Bombyx mori: one gene and its partner. The protein of the gene in region 2 interacts with the protein of the main gene of each other region in a pairwise test. Links are inferred from orthologs where the notes say so. Each region holds a gene or a part of one and is shown on either strand. Other genes may lie near its edges.

Region 1 (12,622 bases), on a different chromosome or scaffold from region 2:
GTGTTTAATTTAATTTGTATAACATTTTTATTACATAGATAAGTGTTTGTGTAATAGTATATATTACATTATCGCATATTCTCCAGAACACAGATTACATGAACATATTCTCATTAAAGCCTCCTGGAGGTGGAAGGTGATCAGCGTCAGGAGGTGGCCTTCTTCCCGGGATGGGTTCACCAACACCGGGGGGCGCAAACGGATCGAAACGTGCCCCCGGGGGAACCGCAGCTCTGTGAATTAATGTAATTTTTACGTAAACAAACATACAAGTATACAGTAGGTATACATTATTCTTTTACATGCTCACGACATGGGCCTGTCTATTGTGAGGTCCATTGTTGTTGATTTTGTTTCGACAATGAATGATTTTGTATTCTTGACCACGACAGCATTTATAGTTCTAACAGCTATTTATTGTTATTTTTGTTTTATTACATTTATATACATATATATAAATATACATATATATAAATATATATATCTAATAAAACAAAAGTGGTCCCAGCGAACTTTGTTCCGCCACACGGTTTGTTTCAAACACAACAACCGGTCAACTTCAAAATTCTACTATAATTAACCATAGAATATATTATGTTTAGCTGTCAGTAGCGTTTTTTTATTCCATATCAGTTGCGTTTTGTTATGCCACGTTTTATGTCACGTCCAATGGGAACGTGATAAAAAGTATCCTATGTCCTTCTCCTGGTTCTAAGCTACCTCCTCACCAATTTTCAGCCAAATCAGTTCAGCCGTTCTTGAGTTATAAATAGTGTAACTAACACGACTTTCTTTTATATATATAGATATATAAACACCCATATATAAATAGAACAGGGAATCCTAGTTTAACGGTAAATTATCATGTGTAAAAAAACCGATAAATCTATTAATTAAATAACTAATTTCTTTCTGTTTGTCAACAGATATTCTTTTTTTTGATGGATTATTTAAAAAATTTAAGAGCTATTGTGATTCCAAAAATAATTGTTATTGTTTGAAATACTTTCATTATAAAACGAAACAATCGCATAAAGATAAGATAAGAACTAAATTCATATTTTTTGTACTTAAGTTTTTTTTCCTTTAAGAGACTGACGATCCATCTTATGTTATGTGGTTGTAGAGCCCATAGATAACAACAATGTAAAAGCCGCCACCCCTATTTGCAGACATGAGTAAGTCTCAGTTTTACAATACAACGGCTGCCCCACCCCGAACGAACCGAAACTGATCACTGCTTCACGACAGAGAGTGGTGGTGCCTACCCGCGCAGGCTCAAAAGAGTAGTAGCAACTATTACATTGTACGAAATTTAAAATAATTATTTCGTTGTTGACTAATGCTAGAGGTACTGGTAGTATTGGCGACCGTCGCCTAATCTATTTCTATTTAAAAAAAACAACAATTTGAGTCATTGCTTGTTTTTTTTTTTTTTGCTTATATGGATGGACGAGCTCACAGCCAACCTGGTGTTAAGTAGTTACTGGAGCCCATAGACATCTACAACGTAAATGCGCCACTCACTTCGAGATATAAGTTCTAAGGTATCAGTATAGTTACAACGGCTACCCCACCCTTCGAACCGAAACGCATCACTGTTTCACGGCGGAAATAGGCGGGGTGGTGGTACCTACCCGTGCGGACTCCCAAGAGGTCCTACCACCAGTGATTACTTAAATAATAATTTTGCGGGTTTGATTTTTATTACACGATGTTATTCCATCACCGTGGAAGTCAATCGCGAACATTTGTTGAGTACGTATTTCATTAGAAAAATTGGTAACCGCCTGCGGGATTCGAACGCCGGTGCATCGCTACATACGAATGCACCGGACGTCTTATCCTTTAGGCCACGACGACTTAATACGATTTGCATAAGAGGTGCTTACTAAAAGTAGGTGTAGTTATTGTAAGCCCGCTTTAGTGGCTTACACAATCCTGTCTATTTCTGTCTCCAAGTATTCATATCTCAGAATAATGAAGGTGATCGTTCTTAGAATACAAACGAATACGGTCTGAGGGAACGGACACCAGTAACACATACGATCTGGTCTCTATGGGCTCATGGTTGTTCAACTTTTGTAAAAGGTATCTGTGTCAACCAGAAGCGTATGAAATAAATCAAAGAAGGTCTTCAAGAGTACTTATTGTTTACAGCCTTTTGATGGTAAACTGACATAGTCATGTGAGCGGATTTAGATGCTCATCTGTTCATCTTGTTGTTAATGAAAAATCTCAGATATGTAAGATTTTTACACAAACCTTGGCAATCCACCTGGAACACCCAGGCCTGGGTTCTCAATGTCTCGACGTGGAGCAAACGGGTTAAATATCATTCCACCCCCGAAAGGAGAGAACGGATCGAGATCTGAATGGCCAACGTTACGGCCAGGAGGAACTGCCCTGTATGAAAAATAAATTAATAATTGTCACTCATTTAACTAATATTTACTACTGGCAAACTCGTTTGTACACATCCCGGGGGCTGCATACCAAAAACAGATTAGATTAAAGCAGAGAAACCATAGTATTCTAAGTTTTTTTTAAATACAGAAGCAAATTCTGAAAATGCGTGATAAATGAACTTTTCCCCGATAATCGAAATGAGGCATTAAAGCTAAGACCGAATTTTGAAAATTCTTCCACGTTTTTACTAAAAAAGTTGCGATGATAAAGATCATATCGATATATACTTATGTATAAAATTTTATAAAAAAATATTGTTTCAGAGGTTATAAAGGAAAATCCGTAATTATATTACAATCAGGTCTTATTGTAATCGTATCCTATGTCTGTATTAACGAGTTTAAATTAATTTTTATCTGTAATGATGAAAACGTGGAACAGTTTCAAAACAGAGGTTGTATTACGACCCGATTAAAATCATTGGCAGCTGAATCTACGCAAGCATAGAGCAGAATATACAATACAGCAAACTATTAAGACGCGCACACAAGGTTCACGAACGAAGGAAGGTCATGGCTTAAGGAGAAATTGGCCCTTATGTTCCACCTGATGCGAAAATATTGCTCTAACACTATAAATCTTCAACAGCTGCCAAATGCAAGCTCGTGTATAAACCTATTTTATACCCATATTATGTCAAACAACTGTAATAGAAATATATTATTTCGAACTCATACTATCAACCTTAGATTAATTATGGGTACAAAAGATGAGCCACTAGCCCCCGAAACCGAGCATTCTTTACCATAGATCTTGTGAATCGGGATTAACTCCGGGTCTGGGTCTGGGAGGAATTCTCAGTGGATCATCTGAAGGCCTTCTAGTGTTTGAATGATCTGAAATTTTTAAACATTTGACCTTGAGATAAAAATACGGTCACGTAAATCAGCACATTGAATTTCAGGTGGACCATAAGCTGACTACAGTCAAACTTAAAAAAAACTAAATGAAATGGGAGTCGAAATGGTCGAATGCATACTGTAGCTGTTTATTGAATATTTAATAATTAAATAGCACATTTAATTTTACATGCTCCCTTATTTTATTGAGCAATTTTAACCACTTATTTTCTTATGTTATTTACAGAATTAAAATGGAAGATTGAGTTTAATTGAAGTCGTCATGAGCTTACGGAACAGACGCACACTGTACTCTCGGAGTATGTGACTCCAAGCCAGGATTCAGATCCTGTATGCAGCTACCAAGTATACTTAACAAGTGTTCACGAGCAATTTGTGTGAATAATATTGTGTAAATTTCCTCCAGCTTATATCTGTCGCAAAACAATCACGTATTTTGATTTAAAGAGTAGGATAGCTTTTGTATTAAAACTACAGACCGTTAACTAGAAAATCGTGTGTCACAGTGAGTGGCAGTACTGAAATTTATATATCTATAGGCACCGGTAGTCCTTTATCATCAACTGGGCCATAAGCACGTTCAAGCGTCTGTACAAGAAATGTTATAATCTTGAAACAGCAGTGACTGAATATCTTTTGCACGGCAAATAGGATATTCACATTTTTTTATTTTTACTCGACATAAATACATAATACTAAATTTGCTTGTGATGGTTGTTAAATTTTTGTATGGCAATATGAGAGGGGCGAGTATTATCTTTCTGCCTATTTCTGATACGCAGTAGTCTCTCAATTAAATGGTCAGTGGTTTTGCAACTTAAACCTTATGTTTTCATAGGAGTGGCAATGCTTTGTGATGTTTATAAGATGTGCCATGCAATCTAAAATAATCATGAATGTGTTTTCTACTTGACACAAAAAGTCTATTATGAAAGAAGAGTAAATTTAAAACAAAAACTTGAAACATTAATTTAATTTTTTCCTCTAAGTTCTACGTTTAGTATGTGCTAACCAAATTTTTAATATTATCTAAAAATCAAGTGTGTAGAATAGTGAAGGAGCTGTGATAAAATCAGCCAAATTGCACACTTTTTATATTCTAAAGTCTACTTAAAGCATGAGCAGTTATAAGGCTGAAAACTTATATTACAAAAATTTTGTTTAAAAATTACCTGATGCAGTCTGTGTTTCCGAAGTAGCTGTTGGCTTGTCTGTGATGCTATCAATTAGATCTCGCTTTATAACAAAAATGAAATCTTTGTAATTCGGCATCATGACGTCTATGGTTCCATTTGATTCTTTCAGTATTTCGTCTATCTTTACACCTATGTTCGTAACAGCAAGGTCTTCAGATCTCTGTACAGAGTTGAGTATTTTGTTAATCGTATGTGGAACTTCATAAGAGACAACATCAATACGGAATTTGTGGGTTGATGAAGACAAAAGAATTCATGAATTAGAAAAGGGAAAACAGATAGGTGATTTACCAACTCTCACAACATTCATTTACATACACTACTAGACTTGAAGACATTAATGACAGAAGAATGTTATTATTATGTTTTATTATTTTATTATGAACTTAAGCACACATGTTTGGTAACAAGTGAGTTCATTAGATGTCTGTCATAGACCTTTCATACTTTAGTGATGTCTATTTTTATACAAACTGCACTTAGCAATCCTTTTATTAAAAAAATAACAGGTACCCTCACTAATACATTACAGTTATTTATTGTTACTTGTAAACTATTAACCTTTGGTATTGGAGAATGGATCACTAATTTACACCAGTTATCTGCAGTAGCATGGTGTGATTTTTTAATGCACTAGATAGAGGATAGATTGAAAAGAAGTTTAGGGACACATCTACTAATCTATTAGATAGTTGGTTATCATATGTTGAGTTACATTTTCTAACTAAAACATTTGTTATCTTTTAAATAGCATCATAGAAACTTTCTATATCGTTTCAATATTTTTGCCTAGTTTGATTTTAATTTTTAATACTTACTAATATTTATCGTCAGCATTGAGAAAACTGTTTTTTCTTTTAGTTATGTAACAGAGCCCATAAATATAAAAATTTGTAAATACAGCCACCCACCCAGCATCAAATCAAAATGTATTACTGCTATACTGCAGAAATAGACAGGTTGATGGTCCCTATTCTTGTAGGCTCTCAATTTTACTTCACGCGTGTTTGATTTTTATTATTTCATGTTATTCCTTTAAGCCTTTAGATTTTTGAATGTCATTTGTATTATTAAACATGAAGTTTATTCATAAATGCTCAGAAGCATGTAACTTATTTTAGAACTCAGAAGAGTGTAACATAAAACTTGTTACTAGTTTCATAATTACCATTAAATTTACAATTAAATTTCCATCAGTGTTTAAGCCATGTAGAATATAGAGTTTAGATTCGAGAACATATCTTATTCTGTAGTTCTCAGTGTCGTTCCATCCTTCAGGAAGTAGCTCACTTTTAGGTTCATCGCCAGTGATTGTTCTCTGAAATGAAATATTTAATGGCTTTAAACGACAGTAAATTCTTGTTCATTTTTTTAAATATAAAAGCATTATTTATTAAATTGTTTAAAATTCTATCAAAATTTCAGATTACTGTTTATTTACAAAAATAATAGTGCATGTCTTGGTCTCAGCATTGTATTGTATTGTTATGGTATTTCATAAATCACATGCTATCTCCCTTTTAAGATTCAAATCATTATAGTTAGTGACTACTCAGATAACATTAACTGTTTGGATCAGACCTCATAAAAAAATTGCAAGGATATTTTATAGTGATATTTATAGAAACAGATTTTTGGCACATCTATAATATTAAAAACTAAAGATACAGGACGAAAGTTTTCCTACATTTTTAGTCATTTGTTTTATTTATTTGGCCCTTACATTTACACTTCGTTTTATACATTGATTGTGTATGATTACTTATGTATAAAAGATATACATATAATTATGTATTTGATTGTATTTTGTTAAGTATAAGCACATTAAGCACTGTTTAAGTCTCGTTATACAGCGTAACCTAATTTACTGTCAGAAAACTTTTGAATTAGGTCAAATTCTCTTTGGACTTCGTATTCAGGTTGTTTGTTATGCTTGACTTTTACATTATTATTAGCCTGCACACACAAAAAAAAGTCATTACTTTCAAGTCTTTTTGAATGTCTGTAATGTTGTATATGTAATATATAGCACAGCTAAGGATAGGCAGAGCTAGCACAGGATATTCCAGAAGAGAGTAATTAAGGAAGACCACAACCCTCAATATTAAGGATTACCAATGTGATGAGGATAATGCTGTAGTTCACAAAGTATAATTAGAGATAAACTCATTATATTCCGCTATGACATTGTCAGCCTTCTTCTTCTGAATTCTTTTGCTTTTCTCCACTACTTGTAAAGCACATATTTTTTGAGCTCGGATATATCAGTTTAGAAAAGTAATTAGCAGAGCTTGCTTTAATTTAGTGCCTTAGTAGGCGCCACCAACATATGGTAAGTGGTTACCCTCACTCATGGATGTCAGCAACGCCAGGGGCATGGCCAAGTTGCTGTTTAAGCACTGGCATTGGCCTGTCCAAAGATGATGGACACTACTCACGATCTAGTGGAACATAGGTATTACCTTCGAAAGATACATTCTAATTTGAAGAGACGAAAAAAACAGATCATCAGTACTTTACCTTATTGTAATAGGGCTCAAAAATCAATACAAATGAAATCTATTTTAAATTTTGTGTTTATAAACAAAATGAACATTAAAGGTCCATTGGTATCATTGAAGGGACGCTGAATCTGCTGATTAATTAATTCCACTATAATTTCAGTAGATATACTGTTTACGTGTTTTGTTGTTTTAAACGACGCATTTTATATCGTATATAACTAAAAATTAGTAATGTGAATTGTAAGAATTCCTTGTTTGATTTTATTATTACCTCATCACTTAAGCCGATGCTTCGAAAACCCCTCCTTGTTAAATTCCAGTGAATAAAAGCAATTATTATGTCAGACTGTTTTTTTATATCCCTCTCAATTGTTTTGAATGTTAAATCCCAGCCAAACAGCGGGTCTGATGCCATTTTGACTATAATAAATGTCCACTATGGTAGCTATATTTGATAGAAACACTTGTTAAATCCGTTCAAAGTATTTCAAGACAGCTGAGTTGTTGTGATAACTTCAAAAAAATGGTTCCCCTATGTTTTGTATCATATGTTCAAGCAATAGACATGCAATACAAACAGGGATGACGATTCGAGATCGATTAATCGAAGAAACGATTTCTCGAGCCAAAAAATTTTTTTAAATCGATATGTAGTTCTGAATCGATTCAGTGAATCACCCTTGAAAATCGACATTCGATTTTTTTCAGTTTTGGTAAAAACCATAAAATTATTCCCAATTAAGAATTTGAATTAATTTTTCAACCAATAAATAATCAGTGACCATATTTTTGCGATAATTCGATACTCAGTTAACTTTACACTTTTTTGATTCCATCTCTTTTAATACTTATTAATATAATAATATTATATAATTGAAGTGAAACTTCCTTATCGGCGTTGGAAAAAAATTTACCGTCACATTTTTCGGTTACGCGTCACTTTTTTCCGTTACGCGCCATCTGTTTTGTATTCATGTCTATGATAATAAAATCCTTTTGTTTAAACTTTATCTAATTTAACTTTTTTGTATTCATGTCTATGATAATAAAATCCTTTTGTTTAAACTTTATCTAATTTAACTTTATTTAACCAATTTCTAGAAAGTTGCATGTAGATCATTTTTCGAAAAATAAGGCCATAAACAAGTTTCACTTCTTACGTGTGTACACTAGTACACGCACACATTTTTTATAATATAGAGGATAGAGGATTGGTTGAATGTACCCGTAATATTACGGTGTTGTAGGTGACAAATACACTTATAAAATAAATGTATTCTTTTAAGCCTGAACTGATACTTTGATAATTAAAAAAAGAAAATTCTATATGTCGGTGGCGGATTAAAGGTCCAGGGCGCCCTAGGCAATCACTTTACTGGCGCCCCTGTACCGGCCATAAAGGGCCCTCATAATACTATAAATTTTAACTAGTTGTTTTTGCAATTACGATGACGTTGTATCATCAAACACTAGACTTTAGTAGACAGGGACCCTTGTACTTACGCTAATGTGCGAATGAAATACAAACAAACCCGCAATATTGCTTAATACGAGTATATCGATGCTTGTGCAATATCATCTATTATAGATTTAGATTATAGATCAGCATTTAGTTCTTAATCGTCGATATCTTATTTTCTTAATTCGTTTAAAAATTCTGAGCTCGCGACCCCTTGTAACTACACGCCCTTAAGCACGTGCCTAGTTTGCCTTATGGATAATCCACCTCTGATTATTGTCATTATCGAATTCCCTGAGCTAAACAACTCCGTGATTTTACTGATAAGAGATCATTTATTATGTCATATCATATATTACATTGTAAATGCAAACTTATAAAAAATCCATTTTTAAGGAATCGATCTTTTGGACCTCGAGTTTTTTGTGAATCGATTTATTAGGTTACGATTTGAATATATTTAAAAATCGATCTTTTTCGTCAAGAATCGCCATCCCTAAATACAAATACAACGCAGAATCTATGAGTAGAGAATCTTGTTTATATGTGTATTATTATCTATGGTAGAGAAATCGCTAACTCACGCCGTTGTAGGTACATATTAACTCCATGCTCACGCCTAAACCTTAGATCTTTCTTGATTTGTCTATTTGCTAAGGCAAAGGGATCGGTAATTCAAATGAAAAAACAGTGAAGAATTTGAAAACTGAAACGGAACAAGAAAAATGAGATGCATTAATAAGAAATTGATTATGAAACTAAGCGATATGAAATGAAATTGAAGACAACACCGAGCATCAATGAAATAGTTTAAATTTAGTAATTCAGTGGACTCTTTGAGTTTACCCGAGAAACAATGCCTAGTCACTAGTGACTATTTTATTAGTGTTCACACTTGTGCATGTGCAAAGATGATAAACAAGTTAAAAACCACAATTCAAACGGTTTAATTATATGTTTTTTATTGCATCTAAACTCTAGCTCCTCACACACAACGTGGAAATATATTAAACTAAATTAGTCAATTATGAAACGTAGTTTGCTAAAAGCTTGTAAATGTAGACAGTGGCTCTTACTTAATTCTTGTTATTTGTCTTTATGGTATAGCAATAAACCTTCCAAGACAGTCTCAGATTACGACATAAACATAGAAAAACCATTCATGTTAAAGATAAAACGTTTTTCGTCATTTTTCACTCGAGATGTCTACCATAACTTTATACATACATATTTATGTACGGAGTATTTTTTAAATGCTTAATATGAGACTATAAGTCTCAAACAACCAAATTTCTAGTTCTTGAAATTTTTATGTCAGCTCTATTTTAAAATTTGTTTCAAAAGCCCGCCAAAAAACTGTCAATCGAATGGCCAATTGCGAAAACCGATTTTAAACGGAAAATAATTTTGTAACTATTTTTGTTGAGAAAATCAAACTGGTAACTTTATAAATTTATTTTAAGATCTAGCCTTGAAATTTTCACAAAATTACGATTTTGACAACGGTTTTTCGTTACCGGTTAGTAACTGAACATGCATGCATTTATTCGTAAAAACAATATGGCCGACAGTGTCATTCCGGGGACGTCGTGATCGTAACGTGAAATAATGAATTTTGTAATTCTAGAATATGGGTGAATATGTGCAGTAAACTTCTTTACTATCGTGAAAAAAGTGTTGTGTTTTGATTCTATTTGTGTAATTTGTGTGCAAAATGGCGTCGGATAAGATAAAAGTCGCGGTTCGTGTTCGTCCTTTTAACAGGCGAGGTAAGTTAGTTTCATATTGCATATAAATAAAGAAATCGCTATCGTACAGGTGACCGTATATGCTTTTATCTCTCTATATAATGGCCTCTATAATCACGATAAATATTACTATAGAATGTAATCAGTTAAATATTTATGTAGGTAGCACTTAGTTAGGAAAAGTAGTATTTTTTCTTGCTTACTAATCTAGATCAATTGTTACAAATATAAAAAGTAGTTACGTAGACAATAGACACATTTATTTTATTTCATTTCAAACTTTCGGTTTTTAGAATTTGAACTTTCATATATCTTTAAAAATTTTAATATATCTTCAACCACTAATAAACTATTAAACCCACTCTGATAATATTTTTATAAAAAAAATCTCAACATTAAATTTAAATTTTTTTGGAAATGTTTACAGTAAAATGCATCAGCATGTATGTGCAAGCTTTTAATTTACAGAATCAATAGGTAACAATAAAAAGAAGTAAGTTCACATATAGTAGTATAAATATTAGATTTTTGCAAAAAAAAAAAAACAGTAAATTTTACAATGAACTGCTTCAAGTCAAATGCTAAACATGTTTCAATAACAAAAAACCTTTCTTTCTATCTTGTTTTATCACACTAAATGCTACAAATACCAATAAGTATTTTATTCATAACTTAAACAGCAAGTTGAATTCTACGGTTTTAAGAGGGCCTTCAATAACATTATATTTATCATCTTTAACAGTTTATGGGAAGACACTTTGTTAATGTAGGCTTTAGAAGCACAAAATTTATCACTTACACATTTCATAAAACTTACACTTTTAGATGTACACTGCTTAGATTTTTAAAGCCTTTCTTCAGTATCTTCATTCAACATTTAAAGTGATAGGACATTGACAATTTACAAAATTTATATATTTTTATGTAGATTAGATTGTAGCAAATAAATTTTAAGTACTTCTGTAAATAGAATGGCAGTTTGCAAATTCAAATCTATTTTTTACATGTAATCTATTCTATATCTATATAGTACAGTTATTGCTAGGTAGCATGAATTCACAAATAAATAGGAAACAACCTAGTAATTAATATTATTTGTGGTAGAGCATCTTGAGAGTCTGCCTGGATTATACCACTGAATACTGACTATTTATTTTTGTTGCCAAACAGCTATGTGGTTTGCTTTTGAATGCCAGTTAAACTGTTATTTCAATGCAGTTACATGAGACTTACACTTTGTGTCTCGGGGTAGGTGGGGTCATTATTATTTTTTATTTTTTATAAATTCATTTACTTATTAGAATCTTGTTGGCTTTTCTTCAATTAACGCGCTTGATGAAAATAAGGACTAATAACCTTTTATTTATTTAAAAAAGTATTGCCACATCACAAACATTTAACATTGAAAATAACTTCAACTATTTAATTTATGGCCTGATGCATGTGACAATAATGGCGTACATAACATACCTTTAACTAATACTAATTGAACAACTAATACCCTAAAAATCAACCATATTTAAAATTTGTAATTAATTTTTTTTTGCCGAACATAATTCAGAGTCAGTAAAACAGTTTGATTTGAGGTGACATTGCAAAACGGGATTGGAAGCAGCGTGCCGTGGACGCGCCGGTCGACCTCGCGTTAAGTCATTATTATGGTGGTCCATTTGTTTTCGCGCAGACGATAAAACAGTATTAAGCACGTATTGACCGTTTGAAACCACGCTCGTTGTGAATGAACTTGACTTAGATGATAAAGCTAAATTCAATAAGACAAAAACATACAAGTAAAGTAGCGACAGGAGATCGCGCTAAGTCCGCGTAGGATATGTTATGACCAGGTGTGAACTCGTTATGTTTCTGCACCAAGCTTTAGGATGCCAATTCAATAGGCGTAGTATTAAGGTCCATAAAAGCCCATGGTTTTATTAATTTTCGTCATCACAGAAACCAATGTTTCCAGAATATTAAAATTAAGAAAAAATGTCGTAATAATACTGGGTTGGTTTTAAAATACATACACTGAATGAACTCAAGACTACAAATTTCTCTGAATTTAGGTATACACTGAATGCTAAGAACGATGTTCGACTTAACTGAAATCAATACAACGACAAATTAAGAGTTTGTTAGAATTAACACATCAATTAATCTTCCGTAAACCGCTGATTTGAAGAAAAGAAATTAATTTGGATCAATAAAAAATATAGCCTTCTAATGCACACAGTTTTTATGTGTTCAGATTGTCCAATGTTCATAAGCGACTCACAAACGAGATTTCTTATTTAACTAATTCGTATCTCGTAATTTCATTACATTAAAATTTTGTTACAGAACTCGAACTCGGCACACAATGCGTGGTGGAAATGGAAAATCAGCAGAC
Region 2 (12,032 bases):
TGTGTGAAAAAAATCGCGAAAATGTACAAATACAGCCATTGTTTTTGTAAATATTAAATGTGAAACCATATAGCAGCATGTCGAGCCGCCGTTCGATGCTCGGTTCGGCGTTAGATGCTCTTCCGGCGCCCACGGATCCCTTAAGGGAATTGTTCGAAGCTTGCAAAATAGGCGATGCAGCCCGTGTAAAAAAACTAGTTACACCACAAACGGTGAATGCAAGGGACACGGCCGGACGTAAATCAACGCCTCTACATTTCGCTGCAGGTATTTATCGTTAAAATCAATATTCGCACATTGTGGTTAAAAAATACAATAATAATTGAAAATAAAGTGAAAGTATTGCGGGTAGTGTGAGAATAAAAATGTTTATAAGTAATTGCATAATTAGTCACGGTTTTTGATTACAGTATTTCGTGTTCTATGGATAATCACGTTTTCAATACTGACTGAATTGAGTTTCGTTACCTTGTATGAGTGACAAAAAAAAATTGTCTGAAAGTTATGCTCATAATGAAACATTAGATTTGTTCTATTCCAACAACACGAATGTAACATTAGTCCTATGTGAATTATTAACAGTATTGTTTAAATAAATTAACAAATTGTTGGACTTGTATCATTGTTAACACTGCAATAGTATGCATATGAAATCGCCTCAGAATATTAATAAAAATTTGACCCAGTTTCTGGATTAGGGTTGTTTATATTGGCCTCTCTAGCCTTCGAAGGAGCAGTTTCAGAACACGGTCTACAACTAAATTATGTAGTATAATAGATGTCCCACTGCTTCATGGTTGAAATATGATGAATAATGGTACTAATGCATGTCATTTTGGATCCTCCTGATCCACAATCATTGCTTTTATGTACCTCAAGTCGCAGTCACTGTTCTCGTCGAACCTGTCTCTTGCAACAAAAGCTTTGGTGAGCAAAGTGACCCTCAGACACGGCTGACTGTGTTTCTTGCCAGATCTGAGTAGGTCTTCTAATCTGGGAGTGTGGATTTCTAATCTGGAAGTGGGTTTCTAATCTGGGTGGTAGAGTCTGCTAAGCACTGCTCTTACTAGAGCTAGTGTTAGCAATGTCCCCGTTAGAGGTCACTAGAATAGCTAGAAAAAAGTAACAACTTATGAGAGTTCAGATCACTCATATCAGTACGAAAGAAATTTCTGATTTTTTTATAGTTTTTTTTGTTCATAGAATAATTGCAATTGTCTTGACTTGTTTCAAATTTAATTTCATTAATGCTGTCCTAGAAACACTAAGCATCTACTGATCTCAGCAGACAACTTTATTTATGTCACTAATAGTATCAATAATATCTTTCCTATGCCATCAAATACATACTAGAAACATGAGTATTAAGAAAAGTAATTTATGGTACTAATCTCCAAAGTTTTCTTGTTTCTGCTATTAAAAACAGAATGGCAATATTACTAAGTAGAAGAATTTTTAAATAAACAACAATATTTTTTACATTGTTTTTATCAATCTTACTGAGGAGATCAACATGTGTTGTCTTGAATTTTAAAATTATTTACTCAAGTGTTCAAACGCAAAGCGATTTAATTAAAGATAGCCGTGTAATAAACTTTGTTTCTCTGGAGTTCAGTGGTCCCAAGAGAAACTGCATCTTATATTAAATCGTCTAACATAATAATAGCTAGATTCCGAAAATGAATTAGGTGACTTAACAAGTGTTTCTTTAAACGTAGTTTTTCATTGAAGAGTGTACAGCAGCATTTTATTAATACAGATACGGTTTATTAAATTGCTAAACTAATTTTATTTTATAAATTGTTAAAACTAAACCCCTTTTATGTATATGCGGTGGGTAAAAATGGAATAGTATATAAGTAACTTTCCCACCTATTCATTGGTAGCCTAAGGGGCTATTCCAACTTCGTGCGGACCGGTAGGTGAGCTCATGGGCTTAACCTGAGAGAATTACTAACACTAGCCCTAGCAAGAGCAGTCCTTTGCTGAATCTACTAACATAACGGAATCAAGACATGGAATTATCCGGCGTGAAACTCTGTGGGCTGTGTCTATGAGCTAATTCGTTCAACAAGGACGGTGATTGGTGCTTGAAGAGTCTAAAAGCACTGAGAGTGGATCCGGGTTTTGATAAGACATCTTGGGCGATGGTGGCTTCGCTTTGCCCCGTCACCTGGATTGGATATGTAGTACATAAGTAGTAATACTTTTATTGTACGGTTTGTACATACCTAACTGAATAAGTTGACGCGCAGTGCGTCGTCACTGTGGTATCAAATTATTTTATTACATTCTTGTATAGCAATGCACTTAGCAACACGTATTCGTTAACATGCTACCATTTGTACTTGTACAACTAACATAATAAAGGTGCTCAAACAACATACTTACTCTTTGGAAACTTCCCCTTGGAACCCAACATCTTTTTTGGTCCTTCGAGCCAGATTTGAATCAGTGACCTATGGATGCCGCGCGTCGTGCGTTGACGCGCGGTGCGTGTCAACTCATTCAGTTAGGTATGTACAAACTGTACAATTATGGTTTGCAAGCTTATTGTCACAGAACATGTCACTGCTTTGTGAAATAGCTCTATTACATAACACGCTTGATCTCAATACCCCAATAGAATTGTGTTACAGCGGTTCTACCATTCAAGTCAGGATGACTTGAAACATCCATAAAATTCAAATTCAAATTCAAAATTATTTATTTCAACTTAGATGTCAGTATGACACACTTGTTGAATGTCAAAATACAAATAACAATGTTAACTCTACCACCGGTTCCAAAAAAAGCCACAGTCCTGAGAAGAACCGGCGAAACAAACTCAGCGGGTTTTTTTTTTTTTGGTTTTTCTCAAATATTTTCTTTTTTTTAAATAAATAGCAATATTCACAATAAAAGAAAAAACAAGTCAAAAAAATACAATTAAAATAATAATAATAATAATGAAAAATGAAAAGGCCAGGAGCGAGCGCCTCATTCCCACGTAGTGCCATCTAGTAAATAATCCTTAACTTTATAATATGCCTTGTTGCACAAACGTTCCTTAATAGTTTTCTTAAATCTATGAACAGGTAGTAGTTGAAAGTTTAGTGGGATCTTGTTGAAAAGCTGTACACCCAGCCCCCTAAAAGAGTTGCTTATTTTCTTAATTCGAGCCGCCGGCAACGCAAGCCTATGTTTGTTCCTAGTGTTCACATTGTGCAAATCGCAGACTCTGGGGAATTCTTCAATGTTTTTACGCACGTACAATAAATTTTCAAAAATGTATTGGGACGCTAAAGTTAGAATTTTGATTTCCTTAAACTTGTCCCTCAAGGATTCCCTCGGGTGCATATTATAAATAGCACGAATAGCCCTCTTCTGCAGGATGAAAATCGTTTCGACATCGGCAGCATTGCCCCATAGCAAAATGCCATAGGACATAACACTATGAAAATAACTAAAATAAACCAGGCGTGCCGTATCTTCATTAATATACATTCGTATTTTTTTTTACCGCAAACGCTGCAGAACTAAGCCTACTCGCTAACTTGCATATGTGAGGACCCCACTGCAGCTTGGAATCAACTGTTATACCAAATACTTATAGTGTAAGTTATTAGTAAACAATTTTTATTGCATACAAAATGATGTAGTATTTTCTCAATTCTACCAGGTTACGGACGCAGGGAAATAGTGGAGATACTCATCGCTGCCGGAGCCGCTCTTCAGGCGAGAGACGATGGCGGGCTGCAGCCGTTACATAACGCGTGCTCGTTCGGTCACGCTGACGTCGTCAGGGCCCTGCTTACAGCTGGTTCGTTCTAGAATCTTGTTTGTTGTGTAGACAGCTTTGTAGACATCATCTGGGCATGCATCTGTCTGAGCCTCCGAACACCACATTGTACCAAAATCAAATTTCCGGGATGACAAATGTTAACACTTAATTATTTTTTTATTGCTTATATGTGGACGAGCTCACAGCCCACCTGATGTTAAGTGGTTACTGGAGCCCATAGACATCCATAACGTAAATGCGCCACCCACCTTGAGACATAAGTTCTAAGGTCTCAAGTATAGTTACAATGGTTACCCCGCCCTTCAAACCGAAACGCATTACTGCTTCACGGCAGAAATAGGCAGGGTGGTGGTACCCACCCGCGCGGACTCACAAGAGGTCCTACCGCCAGTAATAAAAAGTCGTATTGTAAATTGAAAGGAATGATGTGGAAACTAAACGGTGTGGAAGTTTTTTTGAATAAGCATAGCGGGTTGTATCATGAATTTACACTGCCGACCATCAGTAGATTGTGGTGCGGACAAAACTTTGAAGAATAGATTCTGTTGATTCTGTTGCCATCTCTTTAACACTTCGAACAGACCGAAGGGTCACAATGAAACACTGATGCAATTGTTTAAAACAAAAATTTTCAATAACCATTTTTTTTTCATGATTATTTTACTGAGTTGCGGAAAGAGGAACTCTTGAGTTTTCAGTTTCTTTGATCCATCAAAAAAGGATGTTTTAACAGGTTTTTTTTTCATTCTAGAAGCTTCTTATTTATATAGAATTATCTTTAGGGGTACCATCGTAATGGCATTAAGTGGTATGACTATAAAGTAACACATATAACGTGGGAGTAGGCACAGTTCTATCTAAATATAAATGTTGGACGATCGAAGTCTGACTCCTCTTGTCTTATCGATTTGAGGAACACCAGCTGCCTGGTCATGCGGGCGCAGGAAACCACAGCGGAAGCATTGAACCCAACGTTTGATGGTGTTTCTAGGAGCTCCACCGGCCGCCAGAGACAACTGGGGGTACACGCCCCTCCACGAAGCGGCTGCGAAAGGGAAAGTCGACGTTTGCATAGGTAAGTTAGTCCTTACTGGTGTCCTGAGTCTTCCCTGCCACCGGTGTTGCCACGAAGCAGTAATGCGTTCCAGTTTGAAGTGTGCCGCAGTGGGTCCACTATAGAACTGAGACTTGGAACTCATGTTTCAAAGTAGGTGGCGGCATTTAGGTTAGTCGATGTGTGTCGTGGAGTCACTATTGTACAGCAGTATGCTTAGTGCGAGTTTTTTAAACGTTCTCGATAGCGTAAAAGTTAACTCAAATTTGTATGGAGTGGGAACGTTGCTCACGTTTGCCGCCAGGGGCGCTGCTCCAACTGCATACAAATTCAAGTTCACTTTTACGCTATAGAGTACGTTAAAAAACTTGCACTAAGCACACCGGTAAGCCGTGAGATACTTCACCCGCCCAAGGGATAAGAGAGATGACGTCATAACTTTTTTTTTCTCCTACCGACGCCGAAAGTTCGGTTTTCGTGCCGCTGTACAGGGAAGAAAGTGTAACTTTTCCCCTCGCTTTACAGGGAAGAAAGTGTAAATTTTCCTCCCGCTGTATAGGGAAGAAAGAGTAACTTTTCCTCCCTGGGTACTGACAAGTGCGCATGCGCGTTAGTGTCTACGTTTGCTCTCACGCACCTAAAATTCTCCGCCAATGTTGTGGTCGGGTAATTTGCAATATTGTGTTTAGTGTAAAAGTGAAATAAACAAAAGGCAATATAATGTAATAGTGAAGTATTAAACAAAGAATATTTCATCAGACAGTTCTTATTCAATTAGTAGTAGTTTATTTAAACAGTTAAATTGTTTTTTTATGAGTATATGGGAAGTCTCCGCCCCCCTTACCCCGTCAGGGCCCCGCCCCTGGGCCCCGCCTCGGTACTCCACGAACTTTCGGCCTGGTAGGAGAAAAAATTGTATGTGCACCGCGGGAAAAAGTAGGACATCTCATCCCGCGTGTTTGCAAATTTTACACGCGGAAGGAAATGTCCAACTTTTCTCCCTTGGTGCACAATGTACTATTATTACTCATTCGATCCTACAGCCTTAGAGGTATCCTGAGCTCAGGGATGGGATTTTTCAATTTTTTTTTGTGCTGCGATCTTGAAATAGCTCGTCAATGAAGAGGAAATCAATAAGGGCCATGTAAATTTTCAGCTCTCCTCCAGCACGGCGCCGATCCGAACATCAGGAACACCGAGGGTAAGACGCCCCTCGATCTGGCGGACTCTTCCACCAGGCCCGTGCTGACAGGTATAATAATGAATTTTAATTTAAACTGACAAAATTAACCATTTGGCAGGGTCGCCATGTAATGTTGTACTTTTAATACTCTACAAGCCTCGTTTGAAGAAGGACATGTCATAGCGCTCGGGAAACACCGTGGAGGGGAGCTCATTCCATAGCCGGATGGTACGTGGCAAAAAAGATCTCTGGAAACGCACTGTGGATGACCGCAGTGGCTCCAGGTAGTATGGATGAACTCTACTCCGGTGGCGGGTGGTGCGATGGTAAAAACGAGATGCCGGTATCATCTCGAACAATTCCTCAGAACACTCCCCATGGACTGTTAAAGGAAAACGTCTTCTAGTGTGTATTCCATGTTTAATAATCATCTCAATCCTAGTTTACAATTATGAAGAAGCCTATGTTCCTGGGTGATCCGCCTTATTAGGGGGACATGCGAGATTACACCTATTAACTATGTTATATACTAAATGCTATGCTAATACTATGCCATGCTATGCTATAATGTATAAGTATACACACTTCACTCGACCTTCGAGCGTTAAGGATGTAGCGGCGGTCGCGAGCTGAGTTTGTTGGAGAAATGAAACGATACCAAGGAACAAGTGATATGCGGTCATCTAACTATAGTAGAATGATTTTGTCCGCGCAGTTTGGGTCATTAATAATCGGAGCGGTGAAGCGAGTATTTCGCTCTCTCTTCCACTCACGGGCCTTATGGACGGGCATAGTGATGCGCATTATTGTTTTCGATAAAGTTTATCGATAGACAGTGTATTTAGTTTTGTCATTTTGTGGGTTAGTGATAAAAATGAAAGTAAAATTTACTAATCGAACACTTACACCTCATATCGCCGCAGCAAGTTAACGGGAACGGCAGAAATTAACACTTTGTAACTTTTAGGGATCTATTTTAATTTCAGTGAAAAATTATTAACACATTGTTGATAACAACACGTGCAAATATTATTTTTAATAAATTCTGCCGTTTTGGTACAAAACAAAGGAGTAGCCATTGTGTCACTAAGGAAATTCAGAGAGCGAATGCATAAAAACACATATCTCTCGACATACGTACTATAATTTGCAGGAAGGTACAACAAATGACTCATAACATAACAATGTCTCACTACCCTTCGTATACCGCCCCGCCGCCTTCATTGACTCTTTTGTTTTTATCGAAAATGACGTTGCGCCCGCGTAACATTCTCACCGCCCTAGCCGGACGGGCTGATTTATGACCCAAACTGCACGGACAAAATAATTCTACTATAGAAACCCCTGTATGTACGTTTGAACAAATACATACACCAATTAAACAACCAGACAAAGAGCAAACAAGTCTGTACGTCACACGTATGGTTTGCCCGACGCGGCAATCGAACCTCGGGGCTGTGTTATGTCGGGGCTATGGCTATGCTAATCGAACTATGGGCTCCAATAACCGCTTAAAACCAGACTGTGAGCTCGTCCACCCATCTAAGCAATCTCTCTCGAACTCTCTCTCTCCCCCTCTCTTTCCCCCTCTCTTTCCCCCTCTCTTTCCCCGTCTCTATCTCCCTCTCCCTCCCCTTCTCTCTCCATCTCCCCTCTCTCTTCCCTCTCTCCATCCCTCTCTCTCCCCCTCCCCCCTCTCTCTCCATCCTTCTCTCCCTCTCTGTCCCTCTCGCACTCTCTCTCTTTTCACCTCTCGATATGTACTATTCTGCGTCAGGCGAGCATTGTGCGGCGGAGGTCTTGGAAGCGGCCCGGTCCGGCTCCGAGGACCGGCTGGCGGCCCTGCTGACGCCGCTGAATGTGAACGTACACGCTGGGGACGGGCGCCGCTCGACGCCGCTGCACCTCGCCGCCGGGTACAACCGCGCGCGGGCGCTGCGCCTGCTGCTGCAGCGGGGTGCCGACGTGCACGCCAAGGACAAGGGGTCAGTGCTCGTAGTGGGGATCCTCGTGGGGAGTTTTACTGGTGGTAGGACCTCTTGTGAGTGGAGACCCTCGTGGGGAGTTACGCGCTGGTAGGACGTCTTGTGAATCAACGTGGGTAGGCACCACCAATTTGCCTACTTCTGCCGTGGACATGTGATGCGCAGAAAGAAGATTTCGGTGGTCGATTCTGCGAAGCACTGCTCTTGCTAGGGCCGGTGTTAACAACACTCCGGCTTGAACCCCGTGAGCTCACCTACACACGTTAGGGTGAAGCTGAAATAGCCCCTCAAGGCTATCAGCATAGGTAGGAAAAAAAGAGAAGATGAATGTGACTAGGAGATGTACGGAAATGGTAGTGCATAGAAAATACATAGACAATTACAATGCCCCCATCCATCTTGAAACATGAGTTCTAAGGTCTCACTTTTAACAGTACAAGGGCTGCCCCGCCCTTCAAACCGAAACGCATTACTGCTTCACGACAGAACTAGGTGGTATCTACCCGCGCGGACTCACAAGAGGTCCTAGTAAATCTATATATTAATACGTGAAGCAAAAACTTTATATCCGTTTTTACGAAAATTGCGCGGACGGAGGAGTATGAAAATTTCCACACTTATAGAGATTATAGAAAAGAAGTGCACAATGCTAATATTTTTTTTAAATAATGCATAAAAGATTCATTAAATCAATAAAGAAAACATTACACACACTACCATGTATTTGACACAGCACATACATAAAAATATATTATTTGTTTACTGTCAATTGGGAAACTTTTGTTATTTTTTAAAGTCTTGTCGAATCGAAAATAGATTAATATTGTTTGTCATTAATATTATTGATCTATAGTGCAGTTTTGGCGAATACTGTGATAATATTATCGAAATATAATAGTGTTTGACAATAGAACCATAATAATGTTTAAATTTATAATTTCAATTAATTATAGTCGAATCTCGACTACTGCGGGGCCACTAGTAATAATTATTTTGGCAACGCAACATGACTGCAAGTGTACATAAGGTGATTTCCTTGACCCTCAGAGGCCTGGTCCCCCTGCACAACGCGTGCTCGTATGGTCACTACGAGGTCACGGAGCTGCTGGTGGGGGCGGGGGCCGATGTCAACGCCACCGATCTGTGGGCCTTCACGCCCCTGCACGAGGCCGCCAGCAAAGCCAGGCTCGAGGTGCGTGGACCCAGCCATCATGGCTACCCTATACTAATCTTACAAGATCACTAATGCTTATGGTTGGCAGCGGCTTGGCTCTGCACCTGGCATTGCTGACGTCCATGAGCGACGGTGAGCACTTATCATCAGGTGGGCTGTATGCTCGTCTGCCTACAAAAGCAATAGAAAAGTAGATCTTAGTTTCATTGTTATGTGATTCAGTGATATTGTTACTATAAAGAAACTAAAACATGGTGCTCATTGTCTTAAGACGCGCGGCGCTATTTGGGTTGCCGATGTCTATGGGCCCCGTAACCCCTAAAGACCAGGTGGACCGTGCATGTAATTTATAAAAAAATGTGTACAGAGCATGAACGAGGAAATAGTACTTAACTGTTTTTTTTTCTCGTAGTAGTAGTAGTAGTAATAGTGGTAGAGATATCTCAGATAACGTAGCGACATAGTACGCTTGCTTGCTTCTCATAGTGTGAGGAAGCAATGAGTCACGCGTGGGAGTCGACGGGGGGACGGTAGTCTCTTTCTCTCTCTCTCTCTTTTTTCTCCGTCTCTCTCTCTCTCTCTCTCTCTCTCTCTCTATCTCTCTCTATCTTTTCTTTATCCCTCTCTCTCTCTATCTTTTTCTTCCTCCCTTATATCCCTCCCTGCACCCGGGCGCTGGTGGCGACTTACGGTGCCACTTACGTGACTGGCTCGTCGCTACGTATAAATTAGTTTTATCACTGCGTTTGTTCGTGACGTTTCCGTTCTGCCCTGAGCAGGTCTGCTCTTTGTTGCTGAGCGAGGGGGCGGACCCAACCCTGCTCAACTGCCACGGGAAGTCGGCGCTAGACGTCGCGCCCACCAGAGAACTCCAAGACAGACTGGCCTGTGAGTAACTTAGGAAATAAGATCCCCGGGCAGGTGGTGGTAGCTAGTGGGTCTTACGTGGGTAGATACCGCGATCCTGCCGCGTAGGTGGAGGGCATTAGTGTGGAATAGATATGGATCGCCGGATCTTCTCAGTGGGTCGCGTTCCCGATCCGGTGGTAGATTCAGCGAAGCACCGCTCTTGCTAGGACTAATGTTACCAAATTCTCTTAGGTTGAGCCCGTGAGCTCACCTACCCATCCGGGCATAGTAATAGCCTCTTAGGCTACCAGCAAATAGGAAGGAAAAAAGATATAGACTCTAATATTACATACCTTAAGAACCATTCTTTTAAGCAAACGAATGAAAATTTTCCTCTTTTCCTCCTGGTGATCCCGGCCAGGATGCAGGAGCTGATGACGGTACAATAATTTCCCCTAATAAGGGGAAATTATTCATCAGCTCTTGACGCGCGTGCGAATTGTCAAGTTGATTGGACGTCTTGAAGTCTGTCAAAATGACGTTTCCATATTCTCTCACATAGATATATAGATGCTGGAATCTATACTAATATATAAATCTACAGTGATTTTTACGGATGTTCCGTTATAACTACTGAACCGTGCATCCGATTGACTTGAAACTTGGTATCCATGTAAAAAAACATGTACTTAAGGGATAGGCTAATATTTATATGAGTGTTGGACTCGCTACACCAGTTGCGGGGGTGTTAATGATGAGAATCTTTGTGGGGGTGAGAAAAAAGTCGTATTCAGTTTTATTTAATTCAAGAATACTCTGTAAAAATTATTTGTGGAAAATAAAGGCTTTAAACATTGTTTTTTTAATATTGTACAGAAAACGTAATTAAGTCTTTTATTATTGTTTAACATGTACTTAATGGATAGGCTAATATTTATATGAGTGTTAGACTCCCTAACAATAATGACAATAAATAATAATGTTAATTTTAAATGCCCAGCGAAGCGGGCGAGTACGGCTAAGTAGCTAATAAAAGTGTGTTTAAAAAAATAAGTCAATAAATTTGCGCAATCACTGATCTCCACCGTGCTTCTTTTTGTCGTGAAGCATCACGATTTTTTAATTGGACCATCGACCTCATACCTCAGAGGGGCGCCTCATATCGCCCACAATTAACCAACTGCGGTAACTCCTTAATCCGAATAATCCCCCTACCAGTCGAGTACCGCGGACATTGTCTCCTGGAAGCCTGCAGGCTCGCGGAACCAACGAGGGTCAAGAAGCAGTTGTCTTCCACGGCGATCCAGCATCAGTACCAAGTGAGTCATCTTTTCACAGCGAAGGCAATCTCTTAGCAAATAGCGGTGTTAACAAGTGACGCCATTTTGTGTATTCTTGTTGCCTTTTATAGATACTAGTGGTCCCGCATTAGTCGAAATTCGACTATAATTAATTGAAATTATAAGTCTGAACATTATTATGATTCTATTGTCAAAGACTATTGTGTCATATTTCGATAATCACATATTTTGCCAAGACTACACTATAGATAAATAATATTAAAGATAAACAATATTAACCTATTCTCAATTTGACCACAGACTATAAGCAATAACAAAAGTTTGACAGTAAATAAAGAGTATATATATTATATGTGTGTGTGTCAAATACATGGTAGTGTGTGTGATTTTTTTTTATTGATTTAATGTAATAATAATGCGCAATTTAAAAAAAAATCTTGGCATTCTGCACTCCTTCTCTATAATCTCTATGTGTGGAAAATTTCATACTCCTGCGTCCGCGCAATTTTCGTAAAAAGGGATACAAAGTTTTTGCTTCTCGTATTAATATTATATATAGATACGGCTTACCAAGTAAAGAGTCATTAGTGATAGAATGGTGGTGGAACATACGACCCGATGGTGAGTGGTCATGGTCATCCGCAACGCCAAGAGTACAGACGCCGCTGCGTACCGTGGAGTGCTTGACTCCCATTCAGTCAT

What was found.
Region 1: the proteins of poly [ADP-ribose] polymerase tankyrase (region 2) and proteasome inhibitor PI31 subunit interact in binary tests that used the Drosophila melanogaster proteins (3 or more experiments, as listed by UniProt). The link is inferred for Bombyx mori from reciprocal best matches to the Drosophila melanogaster genes Tnks and PI31.

What each region holds. Positions count from the first base shown.
Region 1 is NC_085111.1:15,237,546-15,250,167, reverse strand, and holds proteasome inhibitor PI31 subunit, read right to left. Parts: upstream 7,639-12,622; 5' UTR 7,445-7,638; coding exon 7,301-7,444; intron 5,844-7,300; coding exon 5,694-5,843; intron 4,686-5,693; coding exon 4,502-4,685; intron 3,306-4,501; coding exon 3,215-3,305; intron 2,407-3,214; coding exon 2,266-2,406; intron 234-2,265; coding exon 95-233; 3' UTR 4-94; downstream 1-3. Other genes in the region: kinesin-like protein KIF13B, read left to right, coding at 10,203-10,257, 12,574-12,622.
Region 2 is NC_085130.1:10,972,625-10,984,656, forward strand, and holds part of poly [ADP-ribose] polymerase tankyrase, read left to right. Parts: 5' UTR 1-77; coding exon 78-267; intron 268-3,661; coding exon 3,662-3,802; intron 3,803-4,775; coding exon 4,776-4,859; intron 4,860-5,994; coding exon 5,995-6,090; intron 6,091-7,798; coding exon 7,799-8,006; intron 8,007-9,053; coding exon 9,054-9,198; intron 9,199-9,959; coding exon 9,960-10,068; intron 10,069-11,247; coding exon 11,248-11,348; intron 11,349-12,032. UniProt on the Drosophila melanogaster protein: Stimulates proteasome activity, probably by ADP-ribosylation of PI31. Modulates 26S proteasome assembly.